2 linked regions of the Rattus norvegicus genome follow. The protein of the gene in region 1 interacts with the protein of each later gene in a biochemical or structural test. Links are inferred from orthologs where the notes say so. Each region holds a gene or a part of one and is shown on either strand. Other genes may lie near its edges.

The links.
Region 2: the proteins of Mylip (region 1) and Cnpy2 form a complex in vitro, tested with the Homo sapiens proteins (2 studies listed by BioGRID). The link is inferred for Rattus norvegicus from reciprocal best matches to the Homo sapiens genes MYLIP and CNPY2.

The regions. Positions count from the first base shown.
Region 1 is NC_086035.1:19,497,326-19,501,139, forward strand, and holds part of Mylip (E3 ubiquitin-protein ligase MYLIP), read right to left. Parts: coding exon 3,671-3,814; intron 3,665-3,670; exon of another isoform or gene 2,934-3,664; intron 2,417-2,933; coding exon 2,219-2,416; intron 1,530-2,218; coding exon 1,365-1,529; intron 1-1,364. UniProt on the Homo sapiens protein: E3 ubiquitin-protein ligase that mediates ubiquitination and subsequent proteasomal degradation of myosin regulatory light chain (MRLC), LDLR, VLDLR and LRP8. Activity depends on E2 enzymes of the UBE2D family.
Region 2 is NC_086025.1:1,331,805-1,336,376, reverse strand, and holds the start of Cnpy2 (protein canopy homolog 2 precursor), read right to left. Parts: upstream 2,902-4,572; 5' UTR 2,607-2,901; intron 2,043-2,606; 5' UTR 2,018-2,042; coding exon 1,930-2,017; intron 1,783-1,929; coding exon 1,667-1,782; intron 1-1,666. UniProt on the Homo sapiens protein: Positive regulator of neurite outgrowth by stabilizing myosin regulatory light chain (MRLC). It prevents MIR-mediated MRLC ubiquitination and its subsequent proteasomal degradation.

The sequences.
Region 1 (3,814 bases):
CACTCATTTGCTTTTTGAGATAATATACCCCAGGCTGGCCTGAAACTTATGGTCCTTCTGCTTGTCGGGATTACAGTTCTATGCCACCATGCCTGGCTTAAAAGACATTCAATATTACTGCTGCTCTTTTCTTGAGACAAGATCTCACTATGTAGGTCCTGAAACTCACCATGAAGAACACCATGGCTTTTAACTCACAGAGACCCACCTGCCTCTGTCTCTGGAGTGCAGTGATTAAAGACATATGCCGCCAAACCCAGCTTTTTTTTTTTTTTCCCACTTGAGATAAGGTCTCACGTGACACAGGCTGTTCTTGAACTATGCTGCCAAGGATGTCTTGGAACTTCGAGATCCTCCTCGTTCTACAACCCCTAGTGCTGCTGGGATTATAGACACGTATGTGTACTGTGCTCAGCTCATGTGGGCTTCATGCACGTTAGGCAAGCATTCCATGGACGGAGCCAGTTACTATTCTTTTGTGCATGTCTGAGGGTAACTTTCCATTTCATATGCTCAGTAGCTCAGCGACTTTACCCCAGGGGTCTCCAAATACTTTCAAGGAAGCAGCTGTAGACATGGAGATGTGACATCCCAGCTCCCCAGGGCTGTGAGCTGCCACCCAGCAGCTTGTGCAAGCAAAGGGACATTTGTTCTTTGAAGTCGTGGCTTTCATGTTAAGCGTGTCTACACATTTTCTGTTCTGCTCTGTAGTCTATTTTAACACAAAACATTTGAAGGTTTCCTACCGACTACAGTTTTGGCTTTAATTTTTTCAAAGTCTGAGCCTAATCACAACTCAGCTTGAAAAGTCCCCTCCAGAGTCTCCAATGTTATTTAAAAATCTTCCCCGTGACCAGGTATAGTGGTCCACATAGGCAATCCCAGCAGTCAGGAAGCCAAGACTAGAGGATTGCATTTGAGCTTGAAGTCAGCCTGAGGTGTATAGCGAATTTCAGGTAAGCTTTGGACACACAGTGAGACTTGGTCTCAAAAAACACCAAGTAAAATTAACTTAATAAGTATCCTGAGTGTTTGAAGGGTAAGAGCTCAGGACAGGGTGGTTCTCAGCAGGGAGGGACCTGTGCCACTGTTCTGGGAAAGGATGAAGCCTTAACAGAACAGGGCCAACCACTGGGTCATGCTGGGAGGTGGCTTGGAAGGAGATACAGTGAGAGATGGGCAGGAGACTGTAAGTGAAGCACAGGCATGCCCATTCTGTGCTGAGAAGGGTTCCACCAGCTCGACAAATTGAGGTACTCAGAGTAGCTATTCTCTCCCATTCTGTACAAGACTTGTGGACTCAAGGCTAGGAGAAGTCACAGAACCCTGCCAGTCGCCCAAACGAGACACAGGGTGGTACGCGCCTGTAGAATGCATGTGTTTCCGTGATAGCTCGGTAGAGCCCACTGGCAGCTCGGGTGCTGATCATTTTAAACAGGAGCACGATGCTGTTACCGGACTCCTTGGTGACGGTCAAGTAGACATTCTTTCCTGACTGGGTGGCCATCTGCACCACAGGATAAGCTATCCTGAAAGGCAGGAGGAGAAAAATGAGCAAGTTTGGAAGGGAGAGCTCAGCATGGTGCTGACACCTTTAGTTAGGTAGCCCATGACCAGGTGGGGAGCCAGACACTCAGCCTGGGGAGTTCTGTCATGAGGCCAACTACTTATGCTAAGCAGGACCAGCAGCTGTGGGGTGGAAACAAGTGCTGGAGTAACCGTGTGTGTGTGTGTGTGTGTGTGTGTGTGTGTGTGTGTGTGTATGTGTGTGTGTGTGTGCGCGCGTGTGCATGTGCATACACACATGTGTGCATGTATATGTGTGCATGTATGTCTGTGCATATACATGTGTGCATGTATGCAGAAGCAGACGGGTATTTATGGACTGAGCAGCTACTGAAATATAGTCATAGTCATTCTGGCACTCTAGTGGACTTAAGAGTACTTTTGTTTTGGTTCTTTTTTTCGGAGCTGGGGACCGAACCCAGGGCCTTGCGCAGACTTAAGAGTACTTAAGAAATAATTAGTTAGGACTTGAATGCAATTAATTGAACAAGTTAGAAAATGAATCACTTTATTCATAGAGGTTGTCCGGTGAATTTCTGTCCATTTTCTATTTTCAGCAAAAGCAAAGAGTAGACATACATGCTTGGGATTGTATGAATGTGTGTATGCATATATGCAGTATTCATGAATGTATATTGAAGACTTGAGTTACCTGTTAATAGGGCTAAAGTCCTCTTTACAAATTGAGATGCCTTCAGGTCCGACCCCAATGAGGAGTTTCTGTCCTTCGCTGTCCCTCACGGCATGCCACTCTATGCCGTAGTTCTCCATTGCTGACACAATCTGCAGAACTTGGTATTCTGCAGAAGCCTGGCTGATGCCCTCCAGCTCCTTATGCTTCCCAACAATGCTGTGGGGCACCCAACAGTACATGATTAGACAGATCAATTTATGCATTCCATAAAGCTTGGAATTTTCACAAGTGAATTATAAGGATCTGGTCATTTAGGAATCACAAAAGCACCAAATGGCATTTTACTATTTCCTTTACTAATCAAATTTACTGTAAAATACTTCCAAGACATGGCTTGGGATCTCAACAATGGGGCCAGTAAGATTGCTCAATGGGTAAGGGTGCTTGCTTCAAGCTTGAATTTGATCTCTGGGACACACAGGGTAGAAGGAAAGAGCTCACTCCCACCAGCTGTCTTACACACACACACACACACACACACACACACACACACACACTTTTAAAAAGATCTCAAGAAGTATTGAGAAGTCATTTGAGAATACTGAAAGAATTATGGAAAATCTCTAAACATACACATAAGACAAACATGTAGGCCAGATCACCTCATATGTTTATCTATATAGACTTCACAAGCTTCCTGATTGGCAAGCGCCACAGGAACTGATTAGATTACCTGCAACTGAAGAAAACATAGCTCTGTATTCTGTGCTGTGGCAGGGGCTGTCTCTCCTGCGGTCTTTGGTGATCTGGCCTCCCAGTGTAACCTTCCCTTGAGTGTGCTCTGAATTAATGACTGGATTCCAGTGAACAAAAATGGTGGAAGACCTGGCACGAAGCTCACTTCTGGGGTTGAGTCATGGGGGTCTGATTTCTTTCCTGGCTCTTGTCTCTTCCTCTTGGATCATTCACCAGCTACCACCATGAAAGAGCCCTGAGGTCAGGTGGCACAAGGAGGAGGCTGGCAAGAAGGCATCTGAGCCCGGAGGCCTCCCTAGTTGGGATTTTAGTTGCCCTGCCCAAGCACCATCAGATAATGCCTGTTGTTTAAATAGGGTAACTGAGCCAGCTGCCTAAATTAGGCCGCCTGCTGTAAGTCTTGCCTGGATGAGGCAAACACCAATAAACATGCTAGACTTTTATTGTAGGAGATTTGCATATTTAAAAGGTCAGGCACTTTGGAGACCCTTGTTACTTATGGCATTTCATAAAAGGGCATTTATCTGTGTGGGCAGTTTTGTGTTGGTAAGTTTCTCAAGTAAAAGGCACATGAATCTTCTGGAAATGACTGGATAAACCTGGTGATGGCCCGGGCTCTGCCTCCCGAAGTCCATCACGACAGCACGGGGGCCAGTTTCCTGATTCCTATCAAGCTGGTGGGTGTGAACAAGCATGCTCCTCCGGCGGCCTCACCTGTTCAATGTGGAGCTGGAGAGCTCTTTCTCACACAGGTCCTCATAGCTGTATTGGGCAGTGTTCTGGTTGTAGTCTCCGAATTTGGTCTGGGCCAGGAGGGCACTAAGTTCCACTGCCTGCTCTGGGGAACACTGGAGGTGG
Region 2 (4,572 bases), on another chromosome or scaffold:
CATGGGAACCTTTCCTTGAAGGGACTGGAGAGATGTCTCAGTGTTTAGGAACACTAGCCACTATTCCAGGGTTCACACATGGCGGCTCACCATTGTTTTTAACTCCAGTTCAGAGGGATCTGGCACCCTCACAAAGACATGCATTCTAGCAAAACACCAATCCACATAAAGTAAAATAAATCATTAATTAAACTTTCTTGGCTGGAGAGACGGCTCAGCAGTTAAGAGCACGGACTGCTCTTCCAAAGCTCCTGACCACATGGTGGCTCACAACCGTCTGTAATGAGACATGATGCCCTCCTCTGGTGTGTCTGAAGACAGCAACTATGTACTCATGTACATGAAATAAAATAAATCATTAAAAAAATAAATTTCCTTGCATATTACTTACTAGGTATAGCTTTAATTTATGCTTCTAGCAAATATAAATTTCTTGAATACAAAGACTTTTAATAAAATTATTTATTTATTGCTTGCCTGGTGGCCATAGACCCTGCAAGAGAATGTTAGATTACCCAGAAGGAGCTATGAGCCACTACATGGGTACTGGAATCTGAACCAAGTCCTCTGGAAGAGCAGCGTGTGCTCCTAATCACTGAGCCGTCTCTCTCCCGCCAAGGAAGACTGTGCAAGCAGGGATTCCAGGTGTGCACTAGTATGCTGCATTTATGGGATGCCAAGGACCAAAGCCACAGTCCTGTGCCTGCTAGGCTAGCACTCTATCAACTGAGCTACATTTCCAGCTGGACAAAACCTTTTGCTTTTTTTAAGCTTTTTTTTTTTTTTTTTTTTTTTTTTTTTTTTTTTTTTTTTTTAAGATTTACTTTATATGAGCACACTGTAGCTGTCTTCAGACACACCAGAAGAGAGCATCAGATCCCATTACACATGGTTGTGAGCCACCATGTGGTTGCTGGAAATTGAACTCCAGGACCTCTGGAAGAGCAGTCCCTCCAGCCCTCTTATCCTTTTTTAAATGAATGTGTATATACAATACTGCTATAGTGAATGAAACAAGGGTCATGTGAACTGGGGATGTGGGGGAAATGGACTAATCAATGCCTAATTTTTACAGCAGAAACAATTACTTGAGGCTTGGGCCAAGAAGTATGTGGTTATAACTGTCCAGGCTCTTCCAGACAGGCAGAGCCCAACTGCTCTGTTGATTGTGAGGCAGGGTCTCAACAAGTAGTCCAGGCTGGCCTTGAACTCCTGACCATCTTGTCTCTGTTTCCCAGTATTAGGACTACAGGCATGCAAATACTGTAACTGGCTTAGAGCCCAATCCTTCGGATACACAATGTTCTGGCTCCTTTGTTTTGTTTTGTTTTGTTTTGTTTGTTGGTTGGTTGGTTTTTCCAGATAGGGCTTCTCTCTATAACAGCCCTGGCTGTCTTGGAACTCTCTCTGTAAGCCAAGCTGGCTTCAAACTCAAGATTGGCCTGCCTCGGCCTCCCTAGTGCTGGGATTTACGATATGCTCTACCACACCTGGCTGTTTCTTTCCTTTTTGAAGACCGTACCAAATTCTATGGTCTACCCTTCTGGTTCAGCCTCTGAGGGGTGAGATTATCATAACAGATCGAATGACTTCCTGCTTCCTCCTCTTCCGATCTAAACCAAGCTCATACTTTGTGGACTACTTTACTTGAGGGATAGTAAGTTACCTCCACAACTGACTGGCTGCCATCTGGATTGATTCGGAAGGATCCCATCTGAATGGTCTTCTTGGGGTCCACGCGGGCAATTTCCCACTCTAATTCATCCACCAGAGCCCTGCAAGCTGGCGCCAGGAAGAGAATAGGGAGTGGGGATCGTGAGGGGATGGGTCAACCCAAGGGTTTCTATCCATCTTTGTTCCAAGCTTTGGATCTAATGACTCCCAAGGGTCGGCTTCCTCCCACTTCTTCACTGGTATTTGTGCTTTTACCTCCACAGTGTAGATCCTGGCTCCTTCGAGCCCAGGTAGTTCCCAGCAGGACCCCCAAAAGTAGGGCCAGCCAACCCCAGCCTTTCATCTTTAGCGGGACAGGGTCGCTCCACCTGGATTTGTGTGAAAATAAAGCACAGGTGTGAGGAGAGCGATCCATTCATTTTCCCCATGACTGCTACTACCCTTCATCCCAAGGCCTTCAAAGGCCTCGGTATGATTGACTCTATTATCCAGGAGAAGACCACGTTACAAACACCGAGGGACCAGGGTTCGGGATGTGGGGATAGGAGCTCAGAACCGGGATTCAGCTCCAGAAACTATGTCCTCCACAGGTGAAGGCCTGGATGTTGATACATTAGCACTGGACACTGAGGGCTCACAGAGCTATGCAGTAGTTTTGAGATGGAGGATATTGATTACGCGAGGATGACCGGCACAAAGGGGCTGCCAGCAAGGAGCCATTAGTCAGGCCACGAAGCCAGTCAGCGAAGACACTCCATAACCAGGGCCTATGTGGACCTAGCACTAAAGGTTCCAGAATCCCTATCTCCAGAATGTAAGTAGTTCCCGTGCAGACAGACCAGACCCTTTTGTAAGGACTCCGCCATTGCTTTGCTCGGGTCCATTCCCAACCTCAGTGCGCCCACAGCCTCTGACGCTCGCATCTGTCCCACCTCTGCTCCCACGGCCGCCGCCGTGGCCCAGGCACTGGAAAGCAGCCGGACTCTCACTTTGGCTCCCAACCCTAGCAGCTGGCTGGAAAGAACGGGGCTGTCCGGGCTTCTCCAGAGCGCTCCGGCGCTCGCCAGGTTCAGGGTGGCCAGTGACCGCCTGGCCCAGCACCCCGTACCTAACCAGGAACCTAAGCGGAGATCTGAAGGTCCCGTGCGAGCCTCCACGAAAATGACCCTAAGCCAGCCCCTCCAAACTCTCGCGCGAGCAGGCAGCTTTAGGGGCGCCTCCGAGGCAGCGAGGACCCCTTGAAAGGCTTGAGGACCCAGACTTGCGTGGCGAGTCGGTTCACGTGACCACCCAAAGAACAAAGGTAGCTTAGCCTACTGTGAGGATCGAACTCAAGTGATGCATGGGGGATACTGCATCAGTCCAGGTAGGCTAGGACTTGCAAGCAGATGCGATTAGTAGTTGTAGAGAAAACTAGCTTTCAATGCACAAAGCTCGTGTGACACAGCAAACTACATTTCCCAGGAAGCATTGCAGTAGCTACACTCTGACAGTAGCTACAGGTCTTTTTCTTTAAAAAAACAAACACAAACAAACAAAAAAACCAGTTACTTCCTTCTTGTGCCAAATTAGTAAATTATCGGCATTAGGTATATATTAGGAAAAATCATTTTTGGTATTATCTGCGTTTTCAGGCAGGTTCTTGGATATTTCTCGAATTTATCCTCTGAGGATGGGTGTGTGTGCTATGTTGAGTTGAGTATTATTAGCTCTCAGGCTGTGAATAGGGCAGTTCCCCTCTGGTTCCCAGGACAGCGCTGGTACTCTCATGAGTGAAGCAGTGTCTTGCTATGTAGCCCAGGGTTCCTTGAACTCATATGCCCGCCTCTGGCTGAATGGGAATTGTGTTTCTCAGCTGTTCAGCTGTTAGGATAATAGGCTGATACCATGCCTATCTCCACAGGTCTTAAGATAAACTAGGATTTGTGATCGCTTTACGTATTTAGGGTGCTAGGCGACTACAGCAAATACCGAACACTGTCCAGGGGATCCTCCTGGATCCATTCATCTTGGGACTGCAGAACCTTCATTTCTTTTTTCTTTTTTTTTTTTTTTAAGATTTATTTATATATGTATGTGAGCACACTGTCACTGTCTTCAGGCACACCAGAAGAGGGCATCAGATCCCATTACAGATGGTTGTGAGCCACCATGTGGTTGCTGGGAATTGAACTCAGGACCTCTGGAAGAGCAGTGCTCTTAACCACTGAGCCATCTCTCCAGCCCAGAACCTTCATTTCTAAGTCTGGATATAACAGTTCATTTTTTCCTTGTTTGGTGAATTTAAAGAAAGGAAGACAGGGGGTTGGGGATTTAGCTCAGTGGTAGAGCACTTGCCTAGCAAGCGCAAGGCCCTGGGTTCGGTCCCCAGCTCCGAAAAAAAGAAAAAAGAAAAAAAAAAAAAAAAAAAAAGAAAGGAAGACAGAAGCCAAAGAATCCCACACTAGCGGTTTTCTAATGAGATAAAAATATTTTTTATTTTATAAAACATGCTGTTTTAAGCAAATTTTTTAAAAAATAAAATGAAACTCCAGATAGAATGTATGGAAGACAGATACTTCTCAGATGTGATCAGGAATGAAGCCAGTAGATCAGCTTCCTCCACACTGGTTTGATTGGCCCATGGAGACTCTACAAGCTGGTCCACCCAGCCACTGTTTGTCAAGCAGCTGGATGCTTGAACTGTCTGGATCTCGGTACCCTGTGACTGTCCAGGACTTCATTTCCCTAGCTGGCTGAGCTGAGAGTCTGGGTAGAGCTCTTGTGTAGAGGATGAGTTACCCAGGATCTATTACCAAGGGCAGTCACTGCACCTGGGTCCCTTAGGCTTTGCTTCTGGCCCACTGTTTGCACAGTTTGGATAAGGGGAATCTGGCAGTTGGAACCTTTGCAACAATC